Cricetulus griseus: one gene and its partners. The protein of the gene in region 3 purifies or fractionates together with the protein of the main gene of each other region. This does not show direct contact. Links are inferred from orthologs where the notes say so. Each region holds a gene or a part of one and is shown on either strand. Other genes may lie near its edges.

What was found.
Region 1: the proteins of Rab5a (region 3) and Rabggta purify together in Homo sapiens (affinity purification with mass spectrometry; 3 studies listed by BioGRID and IntAct, counting the BioPlex papers as one, with this or other methods). This does not show direct contact. The link is inferred for Cricetulus griseus from reciprocal best matches to the Homo sapiens genes RAB5A and RABGGTA.
Region 2: the proteins of Rab5a (region 3) and Chm purify together in Homo sapiens (affinity purification with mass spectrometry; 3 studies listed by BioGRID and IntAct, counting the BioPlex papers as one, with this or other methods). This does not show direct contact. The link is inferred for Cricetulus griseus from reciprocal best matches to the Homo sapiens genes RAB5A and CHM.

The regions. Positions count from the first base shown.
Region 1 is NW_023276807.1:210,918,589-210,922,694, forward strand, and holds the start of Rabggta (geranylgeranyl transferase type-2 subunit alpha), read right to left. Parts: upstream 2,801-4,106; 5' UTR 2,601-2,800; intron 636-2,600; 5' UTR 482-635; exon of another isoform or gene 376-481; intron 243-375; 5' UTR 176-242; coding exon 173-175; intron 51-172; coding exon 1-50. UniProt on the Homo sapiens protein: Catalyzes the transfer of a geranylgeranyl moiety from geranylgeranyl diphosphate to both cysteines of Rab proteins with the C-terminal sequence -XXCC, -XCXC and -CCXX, such as RAB1A, RAB3A, RAB5A and RAB7A.
Region 2 is NC_048604.1:58,850,219-58,854,167, reverse strand, and holds the start of Chm (rab proteins geranylgeranyltransferase component A 1), read right to left. Parts: upstream 2,801-3,949; 5' UTR 2,612-2,800; coding exon 2,597-2,611; intron 1,743-2,596; coding exon 1,631-1,742; intron 1-1,630. UniProt on the Homo sapiens protein: Substrate-binding subunit of the Rab geranylgeranyltransferase (GGTase) complex.
Region 3 is NW_023276806.1:249,794,573-249,801,264, forward strand, and holds the start of Rab5a (ras-related protein Rab-5A), read right to left. Parts: upstream 4,140-6,692; 5' UTR 4,002-4,139; intron 3,048-4,001; 5' UTR 2,956-3,047; intron 2,818-2,955; exon of another isoform or gene 2,722-2,817; intron 1-2,721. UniProt on the Homo sapiens protein: The small GTPases Rab are key regulators of intracellular membrane trafficking, from the formation of transport vesicles to their fusion with membranes.

The DNA.
Region 1 (4,106 bases), on a different chromosome or scaffold from region 3:
CTTTTGGCTTCTGCCTGCTCTTCAGACGTCTTCACCTTCAGGCGCCCATGCTACGGGGATGGGTAGGGGGATAAAAATGCAGGTTGTCTTGCAGGGGCAGACTTGCAGAAGCCCCACAGAAAGCCACGCGGGGTGAGGGCGTGGGCATGCAGGGGCAGGGGGCTGGACTCACCATGGTGTCGGCTCAGCGTCGGGGACAGAGGAAGGGTCCAGAGGAGGGGTCCTGAGGTAGTTCGTTCAGTCTGCGAAGAAAGATGTCAATCACGGAACCCCGCCCACACAGCCCCGCCCCCCAGGTGTTTCCCGGAAGCTGCCCGCGGGCCTGAGTGAAGAGGTCCCGCGGCTGGAACTGCGAGATCAGGCGGAGGCACTCACCACAACCGGAGCTTCGGTAGGCCGGGCCCGAGCCGAGGCACCCGGAGAGAGCAGTGCCCGCCCGTCCCGCTGATCCCAGCACCCTCTCCCCCGCGGGCGAACCCACCTTCTCTGGGAAGAGGTGTCGGGACGTGCAGCCCGGCGCTGCCACCGAGTTCCAGCCTGGCTAGAGAGGCTTCGCGCCGTGTGAGGGGAGGCGCGGCGCCCCCTGCAGGCTCGGGGAGGGAGCTGCGTGTGTGTCATCCAGTTCTTGTTAGCGCCTAGGAGTGTGTGAGCAAAGGTGGCTGGCGAATGTGTGAATGACATGGAAAGGCTTCCCGTTACCAACTCAAACTGCAACCTAGTTGAAGAAGTTTCCCCAACAACCTGACACCAGCGAATTTCGGCTGTCAAAAACTCTCAGGTTCCTGCCTGCTCTCTTAATTTCATCCACAGTCATGGTTGCTATCGGGAAGGTGATGGTACCCAAGTCTCTAGCCCAGATGTCCGTCCACATGCATAATGATAATGATAATAATAATTACATATCAGTATACGTATGCGTTGACACATTCAGAAGCCCATTGGAAAAAGCCAGGGGCCGTGGTGGTGCTTGTAATATCAGCTTCTCAGGAGGTTGATGCAGGAAGTTCTCAACCTTCCTAACGCTTTGATACAGTTCCCCATGTGGTGATCCCCAGACATAAAGTGATTTCATTGCCACTTCATAACTGTAATTTACTACTGTTATGAGTCATAATAGAAATATCTGATCTGCAGAACAGCTGCTATGCGACCCCCAAAGGGTTGGTGACCCACAGGTTGAGAACCACTTAAACTCTATAGAGTTTAAGGCCAGTTTAAGTAATCGTGAGATTTCTGATTTTTAAGAAACGAGGCCGGGCGGTGGTGCACGCCTTTAGTCCAGCACTCAGGAGGCAGAGGCAGGCAGATCTCTGTGAGTTCGAGACCAGCCTGGTTCCAGGAGCTGGTTCCAGGAGAGCCTCCAAATCTATACAGAGAAACCCTGTTTCAAAAAAAACAAAACAAAACAAAACAAAACAAAACAAAAAAACCCAAAAAACAAAAAACCAAAAACAAACAAACAAACAACAACAAGAAAATGAAAAAAAGAAACTGAGTATGTTCTAGAGGTATTTCAAACTACAAACGCTAAAAGATACTGTCATGTCCATCTCTCCCGAATGCTAGCTTTCTTCTCATTGTTGTCCAGAATGGCACTGTTCTCTCTCTCTGCTTTTCTGTTAATGTCCTCCCCATTCCAGGTCCCACTAAGGTTGTTGAAATGGTTTTCATCCCAACCATGTCCCCTCCCCTATCAATTCACCTTTTGTGCCCTGGAAATGTACTTAAAGTACTCACTATGTCCCCAGTCTTTTTCTAGGTCCTGTCACTTATTTTAGAGGAAAAAAGATGATTTTTCCTGGACTTGTATACATCAGTCCCAGTGGGGAAAACATACGTAAGTTACTGGTTATCTTTGCTCCTGGTGCTATGATTGTGATGGGAGCTCTGTATATATGTGAGGCATATGAACACACACACACACACACACACACACACACACACACACACACACACACACACACGGAGGTAGAAGCAGAGTGATTTAAAACATGACTCTTCCTAACATGATGGGTCACACCTCTAATCCAAGCCCTTGGGAGGTTGGGGCAGGAGGATCCTGCGTTTGAAGCCAGCCTGTGCTATGCAGTAAGATGCTCTTTCAAAATGAGAAAATAAAAAAGCTGGATGTCTTGGAGAACACCTGTAACCCTGGTACTTGGGAGGAGAGAAAAAAATGTCAAGGTTGAGGCCAACCTGGATTAGTAAAGGAGTTCCAGGTTAGTTTTTGCCACATAGTCTCAAAAAAACTCAGTAACAGAAGAAACATTTTATTTATATGTTCGAGTTGATGTGAAGATTAAATAAAGTGCATATGCCTTTAATCTCAGTACTAGGGAGGCAGAGGCAGGAGTATCCCTGTGAGTTTGAAGCCAGCCCGGTCTACAGAGCAAGTTCCAGGACAGTAAGGGCTACACAAAGAAGTTCTTTGAATAATGACTATACTGAATAATTGCTCAGTAAATAATAATATAGTTATGATTTTTAGCTCTCCTGACAAACATGCATGAATCAGAGGTCCAAAAAGATTAGCTTGCTGAGGGTCACCCATGTAGTAAGTAGCTAGATAAGACTCAGATATGATTCTGGTCTAGTCTTACCTCATCATCCATTTTTTTTGTTGTTTGGCTACTTCCGGATCTTATAGGTACTCAGACATTCAACCAGATACCAGGAACACCGATGCCAGACAGCGTTACATCATAGTCACTAAGGGAGGAGAGGAGGAGGTGGGTGAAGGTTGAGGTAAGCATGAAAGACTATTTAATAATTAGCGATCTTGAAACTGGCAGAGCTGAGTCAGGCAGGCTCGAGAGGAAGTGAGTCCTCTGGAAAACATCTGCACTCAAGAAGGTGGGGCCTGTGTTTTGGAAAGAGAAGGCAGGAAGGGCATTTCAGACATGTGTGACATGAACATGGGGGTGAGGAAGCCAAACAGACTTAGCTTCTGGCAGAGAGAAGCTAAACCAGGTGCCCTCACAGATAAGAACAACCCAATTGATGACACGCCTCTTCATGGCAAAAGCAGTTGTCATGAGTTATATTTGGCCTTCTCTCTGAGGTAGTGGGAAGCAGGCAGCTGGTTGAGGGCTGTGCTCTGATACCTGAAGAGATTTTTCTGCTCATTGTGAAAGCAGTGATAGGAGCACCAGTAGAGACGAGTCAGCACTGTGGACATGGGAAGGAATCATCGTCCGGATCACAGTGTGGAAAGAGACGGGGTGGGGAACACCTGCACGCACAGTGCTTCCAGGACCCTGAGCAGAGACCAAATATGGTTTGGGTTGGGAGGAAGGAAGGGACAAAGAGCCACAGTCAAAGCTGGGCAGGCAGCCATGCTCCAGAGGTAGGGGGAGTAAGGAAGAGGCAGTTACAGTAGCCGGGTTCCTCTGCAGCATAAGACAGAGTGTTTGTTTTCAGTCACCTCTTCTTTAGCATAAGGACTGGGCTGCCACAGTCCTAGGCTCCAGGGATGCAGTGCTAGACCAACAAAACCAATCAAACAAACAAAAACCAAAACCAACAACAACAACAACAAAAAAAACCCAAAACATTTATGTTCCTTGGAGGTTGTGGTTAGTGAAGCCCTGTGTAATTGAACTCTCTGTGGCAGGGCAAGGGGAGCCTTTAATTCCAGCACTTGGGAAGTGAGAGAGAGAGGGAGAGAGGCAGAGGGAGAGGGAAGGAGGGTATTTTACTAAACCCGGAGATTGCCACCTCAACTAGCTGTCCCCAAGCTCCTGGGATCTCCCTGTCACTGCCCCACATACCCCACTGATGATGTGTAATAATGCGTTCTCCTTAAACTTCTGGTGTCTCTTGTATTCTTCCTACAATTGTAAAATAAGGATAATATACATATATCTTAATACACACATCATATGGCTGCAAATCTGATCCTCCTATTTAAAAATTCTCCCAGCCACAGAGATGAGAATGGAGAATGGGTTAGTGAGGAACTAGGTATATAGATAGGGAGTAGGGGTGAGCATGGGATGGCCAATAGAAATCTTTCTCAGCGGTATACAGACAGAACATGACCACCAGAGCCTTGTGGTTGGGCCAGAAGGACTACAAGTTAGACCAGTTCCCTGGTAGGCATCATA
Region 2 (3,949 bases), on a different chromosome or scaffold from region 3:
CAATACAGTAAGTATTACAAGCACAGGAGAGCAGTTTCTCTATAGTAACTAAATACCACAAAAAAAGATTGTGTGTGTGTGTGTGTGTGTGTGTGTGTGTGTGTGTGTGTGTGTATGTGTTTACACTAATACATGTCAAGGCATTATGCCACTTCATGTACATTCCCTTCCTTATAGAGCTCTGAGTTTTCAGTCAGCTGTGCATCTAATAGCACCAGCCAAACATATTCTTCACGGGTGATAAGAGTCTGTCCTTCAAAATGAGTTGGTTATAGTGCATTTTAAGCAAGCTAGAATTCTATCTAAAATAAGAATATATTCCAAGTTAGGAGCTGAATTATGCTCCTATATATGGCATATGTCAATGTTATCATATATCCTTTATACCTAATATTTCTTCCTCCCTTGTGACTTTTTGGCCTTGCTGGAGATCATACAATTTGTTGCTAGGATAATTTTTAACCTGCACCCAATGGTAACTTTTCCACAACCCACAAAATTATTGATAAAATTATTTTTAAATGCCAAACTATTCTGAAATGACAATAGTGTACCCAAGCCAAAGACCACATTCTAATCATTTGTTTATGACCATCTTTCCTCCCTATTGAGATTCCAATTGGTTTTACCTCTTTAATCTATTCCTCCATAGTTCAAGTGCTGTATCTTAACTTTCTTTCTTTGGGTATTCTGATATTATTTTCCCTTATCTTGAAAATATGACTTTAAAGGAAACCTTTATACCAGGTCATGCAAAAATGAAAAAATAAAAAACTATTTAAGGTAGGTAGACATTTACAATATTCTTGGATGATTCTACTTGATGAAGCAATTGTCTCTTGGTGATATTTTAACTAGAAACATGCTTAAGGGGAACTATAACTCACAGCCTAGTTCTTTACTTGTTTCTGATAATGATATACTTCATTTTGCTTTTGTCAACAGAACTGAAGTTATGAAACACTGCTTTTCCTGTAAGTTATCTACGAATTAATGTAACAATGCCAACACATTTGAAGTCTACTTCAATGAAGTATTTCAGAAAGAAAGCAAAATGCTTTAAAAATCAGTTCAATTACAAGAAATGATTGAAAGTGTCAGAATCATTTTATTTGAAAAATGACTTTCACCAAATGTTTCCACTTTTGAATGTGTCTAAAAGAATTAATACATTTAATAAAAGTTACCATATCACCCAAATCAAGTAGAATTCAAGTAAAATTTAAAAAACAAAACGGGGAAAAAAAAAACACCTTACTCTAAAAATGGATGGTGTTGTTTTAGAGCAGACTGGGAGAAGTGAATAGTCTACTGTGTCATCCAACATCTGTTCATTGCAGTTACAACCAGGTTAGCTATTGTGGTAGTAATCTTCAGACTGGGAATAAACACACCTCCACTCTTCTAAGAACAATTAATTACTCCGGTATATCTACAATATGAGAATTTGTGTTTGGATAACACCTTTAAAGGCTATTTGATCTAAGCTCCTTATATTCAAAATTGTGGAAATTGAATTAGCATGATCTAGAATAAGTTTTCCCACTTATTTCTGCTAACATTGTACAATTTTGAGAGTAAATAAAAAGTGATTCCATTTCTTGAATACTGCTGGTCTTTGGATATTTACCAGCAGTGTGACTTTGGCAAGTTAGACTTCCAGGCTGCTTCTCCTCTTCTGTGTATTGAAGAGAATATCCATTCGAGCAAGTTTGTTGTTGGAATTTTGTGAATTGCTTAGTCTATTGATTAGGAAATGACAAACATTTGAAAACGAGTTGCTATTGTTTTTACTCTAAACCTGGAAATATGGCTATTCTTACTCTATGGGAACAGAGCAAATTAAATTAATACAATGGACAGAGTCCCATTCACCAAAGCTTGTGCTGCCTACCACATTCTACAGACAGCAGAAAAACCCACCCACTATCTCTTTTATCTTATGCAAACTACATCCCTTATAATTAAGAAAAGAAATGTTAATTGCTGACAAGTGTTGTAGGATTAACTAATCAACTAGAAGCGGAAGAGGATTTCTGACTCCACCCAAAACATGGAGAACTAATGATGGAAAAACAAGGAGAAGCTAAGGTCAGGCACAGGATCTGGAATGAACATTGGGGCTTATTCTGGGCACATCTAGTTGTGGTGTATAGATGGGTGAAAGAAAGCAATATGCTTCCTTTCTGCATCATAAACAAGGATGCCTTAAATACCAGAATGCAAGAATAATGGCTACCTCAGTGGGGAAAAGGCTCTTAGGGTACTCAACACATAAAAAAGGAGTCCACTTCCTTTCCCGTAATAGAAATACATGGGGGGGGGGGGGGGGGAGACTGAGCATCATTCTTATTAACTGCAAATTAAGCTACATCTGAGCTGCAACGTATCCTAGAATCATGTAAGTATATGGAAAAAGCCCTATGAGATGGCGACAGAAAACGATGGGGAATATAACCTTGAAATCAACGAGGGAAAGAGGCAATTATAGTATGCCAATGGCGTCTCCATTGATCAAATACCGACCCTCCATTCTCATGACACTGCAAACCCACCCTCCTCTAGGAAATTAACAGGAATCACCGCAGCAACCAACCTCAGCAATCGGCATCGACCAGATCGACCCCTACTCAAATGGCGCAAAACACCGAGGTTCCAAGCCCCTCCCTGGAGCTGCCAAGTCCCGCGCTGACTCCAGGCTACCTCACTTCCTTTGCCTCCTCCCTCCCAGGCTCGACCCCCGCCGTTTCTCGCCAACCATCGCCACTGAAAGAGAAACTAAAAGGCGAGAATTATTTCCTAAATTTTGTCTAGGAAAAACCACGGCCACACATACCCGTCCCTATTACGATCACATCAAACTCCGAAGGGAGATTATCCGCCATCTTGACAGGAAACGTGTCATGTGACCTTTGTTTGTGGCTGTGAATTCCTCAGGCCGACTCTCTGTAGAAGGCGGAAGGAAAAACAGTGCATTCTGGGTGTTGTAGTTCTAGGGTGAAGGGTCCAGGAAAGTGGCAAAGATAAAGTATTTGAAATGTTAACGAGAGTGGTAAAAGTTCTATTCATTTTACAGTCTTCAGTGAACTAGCTTATTTGTCATGGAGGTTTGATACGGAAAAGAAATGTAAGTATTCGACTCGTCGAGCATGAGGAGTACACCCCTTGACAATTACCGAACAAAAATTTGGTCAGAGACATTCAAGGAGGAGTGAAATTCAAATTCAATTCATTTTGAACAAAGGAGATTTTCATTCATGCCAGGAAAACTCTTACCCCTAGCATGTCTGTATTTTTATTTTTGGAACAAGAGACATCGATTTTCACTTCATTATAATACTGTCCAACTATATTCTGTGTATTTCCAGTGGGGGTGGGGGGGCAGGGGGAACCAACCAAATAAAAATCCCTTTGCCTAGTTTCCACAAAATGGGATTCCTTCTGTATTCTCTAATCAGTTCAAACAGCTGCCTAGCAATGTAAGTTTCAAAAGGAGGCAGAGAAAAGACTGTGAAAGAATAATAAAAAATAGTAGATGCTTAATAAATCTTTTGTTTCACAATCTGATTTCCAACCAAAATAAGAGGAGACCAAACAACTTTCTCCTACGAAGATGCTGGAGAAATGATTAAAGTAAAATAGACTTATATAGAAGTGGTCATAATTGATAAGTGAGCTAAAGGTTGTCTATGCCAAACAGTTAACATAGCTCTCATGAGTATTTTCAAGGTCTGTCACCTCCCACTCTACCACTCTACCTTATTTAAAATGCTTGCCTTTCTGAAAATACTAAAGCAAAAAGAGAGGGGAGGGTTGCATTGAATTAAGGAAAGTACTTTCTAATCTTGGGAATTATTCGTCTAATTATTTTCCAAGAATTCAAAATAATTCAAATGCAAGATGCAGTAGTGTGACAATCCTTTATACTGTCTAGTGTCTCAGGTGCTTA
Region 3 (6,692 bases):
AGTTAGTATTTTAAATACTTAATATAGCCATTCAACAGTATCAAGTACTCTTACAAATCTTATAAATGAGGAAACAGGTACGAAAAGGCTCATTGAGGTCACAGAGCAACTGTGACAGAGCAATCTGGGAGGTCAATCAAGAATTCAGGTTCTGGGCACTGGAAAGATGGCGGTTTAGCCTGAGTACTGCTATTCTAGGTGACTGGAGTTCAGCTTATAGGGTGATCCACAACCATTTGTAACACCAGTCCCAGTTGTCTTGTCATCATCCTGCTCCCTGCCCACCCCCTTTAAAATGAAGAAAAGAAAATCAGGTTCTATGTCCTATCAACCCTTAGCTATGAATTCACTCTTATCTCAGGCAATTTGGTTGACTCTTGCAAGGGGCCTCAGTTACTCATTTGTTAAATTGTTGTAATATTGTCTACCTTATTTTAGAATCTTGAGTAGAAAGAGAGAATGCCTGAAATAAGACATATCCTGTTTGAAGAACTAGGTGGCATAAAAATGCCCAGAGTTTATTAACATTCTGCTTGCTTTCCTAGTACCATTAAATAGTCATTCTCTTGTTCTGTGTTTTATGTACTGTTTTACTTTTGAAGTAAATAACTTTATAAAAGTTAATAAAAAAGAAAATCAGGTTCTACTTGGGTTAATATTTTTGAAGAAAGTTATGCTTGTAAATGGAAAGTTTTTAGAACAAATCCTACAGTTTACTATCTGAAGGCCTCAATTAAATGATACTCTTTTTTTGGTTCTTTTGAGACAGGGTTTCTCTGCATTGCTTTGGAGAAGGCTGTCCTGGAAATCGTTCTGTAGACCAGGCTGGCCTCGACTCACAGAGACCCGCCTGCCTCTGCCTCCCGAGTGCTGCAACTAAAGCCGTGGGCCACCAACACCTGGCAAATTTTTCATTTAATAGTAATTTCCCAAGTTTGTGTGCCTGGCTGATAAGGATTTCTCTATCTGGTAGGATTAGGAGTGACCTATTTACTTTCAGTAATTTTGGAGGGGTAGCTTTTGGGCTAACAATGTATGCTGTTAGCATTGCATTTGGAAAAAGCTAGCCTGAGAGACAATCTCCTCTCCTCTTCAGATAGGGTGTCACAAAGAAGCATAAAATGGTGATCTTCATACTTCTTGTTCTTAAGATCTGCACCAAGACATCCAGTTTGTTTTTAATCTTGGTAGAACTGGCACCCTTTGAAACACCCTTTTCAGTTTATTCACAAATCAACTTTAAGTAGCTTAGTCCAACCTTTTATCAATATATAGAACCTGGATGGGGTAACCCTGTAATCCCAGGCACCTAGAAGAAGGAGGTCTATGAAGTATTCCTGGGACTAGCCTGAGCTTACCTAGAGTCCTTGTTTCAAAAAGAAGAAAAATCACTGAGTACTGTACTTGCAGTGTAAGTCTAGGTTTGGATCCTGGGAACCATATATAATGAAAAGATGAGGACCAAGATCTGAGGTTGTCTGTTTGATATCCACACAAATGCTATGGAATGCATACACCTTCACACAGGAACTCACACACATCCACCCCACACATAAACTAAAATAAATGTGGCTTATAAGCTTATTAACAACAAAGCATACTAAGGATTTCATCTCCCCTGCCAAAAAAACTGCACTATATTCCCCATAAAATTTGAGTCGATACATTGAACTTTCTTGACAATGACGAATTCATTGATAAATATATCCATAAGATCTTTGTGTTATTTTTATTGTTTTAAGACAAGGTCTCTCTATATGTAACCATGGCTGTCATAGAACTCAAAGAGATCGATCAATCTCTGTCTCTACCTCTGGAGTTAAAGACATGCCCCACCAAACCCTGCTTAGTCTTTAAGATACCACATCTTGGTGTGATCAAGTTAATAACTTTGAAGATTACTTATCTTTTCCAAAACTACAGACACATTTACAGATAAAATGATATCTGAGCTGCTTCTAACCAAGAGAACACAAAACTACTATTCCAACCTAGCACTTGGGAAGCTGAAACAAAAACATGTCAGTGAGAAAGACAAAGACATAGCAAGGCCCTGTCTCAAAAGAACAGACACGGTTGCTGGTTGGTGCATGCCTTTAATTCCAGCACTAGGGAGGCAGAGGCAGGTAGATCTCTAAGTTCAAGGCCAATCTGGTCTACAGAGCCAGTTCCTAGACAGCCAAGTCACACAGAGAAACCTTGTCTCAAACCCTGCCCCCACGGAAAAAAAAAAAAAAAAAAAAAAAAAAAAAGACTTGGAAGTTTAAGATTTTAATGCTAGCACCTGGGTCCAGAGGAAGGCGAATGAATCTCTGGGAGTTCCAGGCCAGCCTGGTCTACAAAGCATGTTTCAAGCCACGCAGAGCTACACAGTGACAGCTTGTCTGAAAATAAATAAATAAAACTCCCATTTCTCCTCAATCCACAAAAACAGATTTTGAAGTCCAGTCCTGGCTATGCCAATTTCTGTTGGAGCAAAGTTTTAATTTCCACATCTCAATATCCATAAAATTCTAAGATTGCATTGCTACTGTGAAAATTAAGACAACATATGTAGTCACTAATACAGTGCCTACTAAGTACACAGTGCTTGAAATTGGCAATTTAAATGGCCTTTTGGTGAGATAATGTTGTAAATAATAGACTGTCATGCAGACTGAAAAGGCATCAACACACCTTCAGATACACTTTCAGCTTAAACGTTTCCCAATAGTTCCTTACCTACAAAACAACAGATGGCTTTCCAGGACAAAACTTGCTCTGAATGTCCACAGTACTTCTAAAATTTCAGGGAAACATCGGATTCTCACAGAAAAACTGAACAAAAATTCACACTTAGTTTTGCTTTTTAAGTGTTCTTTACCCTTCCCACCCCATCTTTTTGAAAGAGGAACTTGTAGCCTAGGCAAGAACAGGGGTAAGTTAGGGATAGCCTGGAACTCCGCATCTTCCTACCTCAGCTTCCAGAGTGCTGGGATGACAGATGGGTGCTTCCATATTCAGCGCCTTTTAAAGTTCAAAGCTACTGAATCTTTACTTCCAAAGACCTCAAACAGGAAATAAGCCAAATTATAAACATACACACATTGACCACGACATTAATGTTAAAAATGAAGTGCACGGACTGGGAGTAGCCAGCAGAGCTCTTGCTCTGCACACAGAGGCTGAGACTGTGTTCAACCCCTGGCAAAACAGACACACGCACACGCGCTACATGCGATCCTTTGTACTCACTGCTTGTACTTATTCTGACAAACAAAACTTTTGCATAATGTGCATCTTAAATTTTGAAAATGGTACTTATGTTATACAGCTCTTATCTTTGATTCAAAAAGTTACGAGCCCTTAAATTGTGCATCCTTTGCTCACAACCCTATGGGTCCAAATTTACATCAGGAATGATCTGGCCAGTCCTCAGTATTCCCAGAGACACACCATGGGGTTTTTTGCTGTTGTTTAATTAGTTACCTGAAAGGCAACTGATTCAGCACTTTGAATACACTTCAGCAAGGCACAAACTAAACATGCCAAGTGTGACAGTCCGAGCTTTAAACTTCTGGAAGTGTCTGGATGTTAACCCGCTCGCAGGCCTCGGTTCACCGCGTCCCACGGAAGACCAGAGGATCCCACCATTCCCACAGCTCGGCCAAGCCAGTCAGAGGTAGGCGGAGCTCCCGAACCCCACCTGCTGTAGGCCCGGATTCCCGGAGCACCCGAGAACCAACTCGGGGTGCCGGAGCCAGCAACCCCGCCGGGCCCTGTGGCCGTGCTTCTAAGCCACTCCCTCCCCGCGGCGGCGGCCCGGCCAGGACTGAGACCCCGGGACCAGGCCGGACACCGCCGCGGCCCACGGCGCCATCTTGGGAAGAGGGTGACACCCGCCGCTCCCTGCGAGCGTCCCGGCATCCCGGGCTCGAGCGGCTGGCCGGAGGCGTGTGTGGAGCCGAGGCCCTGCAGACGCCCGGAGAGCCGGGCCCAGGCTGGGGCCGAGGGCGGCTTACCTGGGGCGCGGCTCCCGGCAGCGAGGCCACGCACCGCCCGGAGATGGGATGCGCCGGAGCCGCAGCCGCAGCGGCGTCGCCTGCTCGGGGCTTCTCACCCTGGCCGGCGGGGCTCCGAGCGCCGTGCCGCCCCTGCCGGGCTGCCTCTCTGCTCCGCCTGCCTCCCTCCGGCTCCGCAGTGGCCGCACTCGAGTTCCGACGACTCCTTCCTCCGCCTTTTCCTCCTCCTCCGTCTCCTCCCCCTCAGGCCGCCAGGCTCCTTCACGAACCAAAACACAAACACTCAGGGTCCAGCGGAGAAACTACTTCCGCCGGCTCCGCCACGTAGCCGCACGCAGCCAAACACCCCGTGCGGTCACTTCCGCTGCCGCCCCTTCCTGGAGGCCCTGCCAAGGCCGCCTAAGGGGCGAGGCCGGCGCCGGCGCCACGTGACCTCGCCCGGCGCGCTCCGGCCTCCGCGCTCGCTGGGCTTGTGGGCTGAAGACGCCCGGTCGGCCCTCGCTAACGCCCGCTTTATCCCAGCAGACATCTTGCGGCTCTGGCTGCAAGGCGGGGCGGGGCGCCAGGGATGGAGGGGCGGGGCGCCAGGGATGGAGGGGCGGGGTGCCAGGGATGGAGGGCGGGCTTGCGTCATGAGTCCTCGCCCGCAGTGCCGGCCGGACCTATTCACATCACACCCTTGCTCGGCCTTCCTCGACCCGCCCGCCCGCCCGCCCGCACCAGCGCCATTGTTATCTGGGCGGGCATCGCTCTGCGCCGGCTCTGAGGCGCGGCGGGAGCCTGAGTCACATGGGCCTCTTCGGGGCTGGCTCTCTGCGCCCATCGCATTGTCCGCCTCCCGACCTGCCGTGGTGGCGAGGTTGGCTCTGAGGACTCACTCTGAGGCCTCTCACTGTCGCAGCAGTGGAGGTGGTAGTCTCATCCTCACCTGGTGGGATTACGATAGCTCTGCAGAGGAGTTTGGGCGAGGGGCTTGTGTGTCCCTGGAAATGCCACTGCTCTTCTGAGAATGGGTGTGTCGGTGATCTCAGAGAATTAGGACCGGTTCTAGTCAAAAGTTGCCTTTAGACAGCAAACCTCAAAAGAAGAACTCGCCGTTATTGATAGTTTGAGTACTAAACACTTTGGAGTCCGCCTTTTGAAACAAACGCACTGACATTTTAGCATCAGACAGACTACTCCCCACCCATTAATCCGCACGGCCCTGGCAGCCAGGAGTCACATCTGTGGAATGAATGAGGGAGGCAAGTAACTTGGCCAAGATCACTGCCTGTTTGGTGATGAAGATACATTCTACCCTGCAGCTGACTCCAGAACACTGGTTCTTTTTTTTTTTTTTTTTTAACCTTTGCTTTTTCGAGACAGGGTTTCTCTGTGTAGCTTTGGAGCCTGTCCTGATTCTCTGTAGACCAGGCTGGCCTCGAACTCACAGAGATCACCTACCTCTGCCCGGGAGTGCTGGGATTAAATGCGTGCGCCACTACCGATTAGTTTAGTTCTTTTCTGGTTTTTTTTTTTTTTTTTTTTTTGAGACAGGGTTTCTCTGTGTAGCTTTGGAGCCTATCCTGGCACTCGCTCTGGAGACCAGGCTGGCTTCGAACTCACAGAGATCCGCCTGCCTCTGCCTCCCGAGTGCTGGGATTAAAGGTATGGGCCACCAACACCAGGCTTAGTTTAGTTCTTAAGATTCTAGTGAACAGCAGCCCAAGATGTTCATGGCTATCCACAGCACACCTACAAAAGAAACTCCACTCCCCCAAATTCTGGCACCTGTTTCCCTCTGCAAAGAAGCCATTTCCTCATCACTTGAAGGGACAAATGGCTATCTGCTGGCCCCCAGCTCACTCAACACCCATGCTCTTCTCAGATCGTCTTATCTGGCTCTGTTCCCTTCCTGGAGCTTCCTTGCCTCCCTCTGTGAGCAGTAGTTCCAAGGCTGCTTCTCTACTTTCTCCTAGGCCTCCCTTGAGTAGAGTTCCTGTGGCCCCTGCCTTATTTCCTCCTGTCAGAGCTAACCACTGTATTGCTTCTTACACCCTCTTGGGCCTATATATTATCACCCTGCTCCTTCTCATCTCCCCCTAGCAGCTACCTGCTAAGTCCCACAGTTTCCTTACACCCTCTGGGCCACTACAATACATACTGGAACCTTCCTTCTCCTGGGCCTTTATGATACTGAAATCCTTCCTCTGTAGGAAGTCCTGCTTGTGATCCTTGTTCTCATGGCAACCCTGTTCTCTGACACTCAGCTCCGTCTTGGAGCTTACTGGAACCTTCTGTTGTTATTTTGCTTAAATTAGAAGTGTCAATATGGAGATGGAACATGAACCATAAAGAGCACATTAAACAAAGTTTATTACAGGGTGGGAGAGGGGGAGAGAGGAAATGGAAGAATAGAGCAAGGCAGAGAGTAAGAGAGAAAAAATAATGGTTGACCACCGGAAAGAGAAGTAGAGAGAGAGAGAGAGGGAGAGAGAGAGAGAGGTGGGCACAGGCTTTAAAAGGGGAAGCTTGCGCATGAAGAGTTCCTACGCAGTTATGCAGCTCCAAACTGCATAATGAGTGATGTGGCAAGTTACTGTGCGCACCCCACCCATTGTCACTGGGCGGGTCTGTCTCTGAAAGAGGTAGAGCAGGTCAGCATTAATGCCTGAACTTTTCATTCCCACCTTTATTTATTATTTAAAAGGT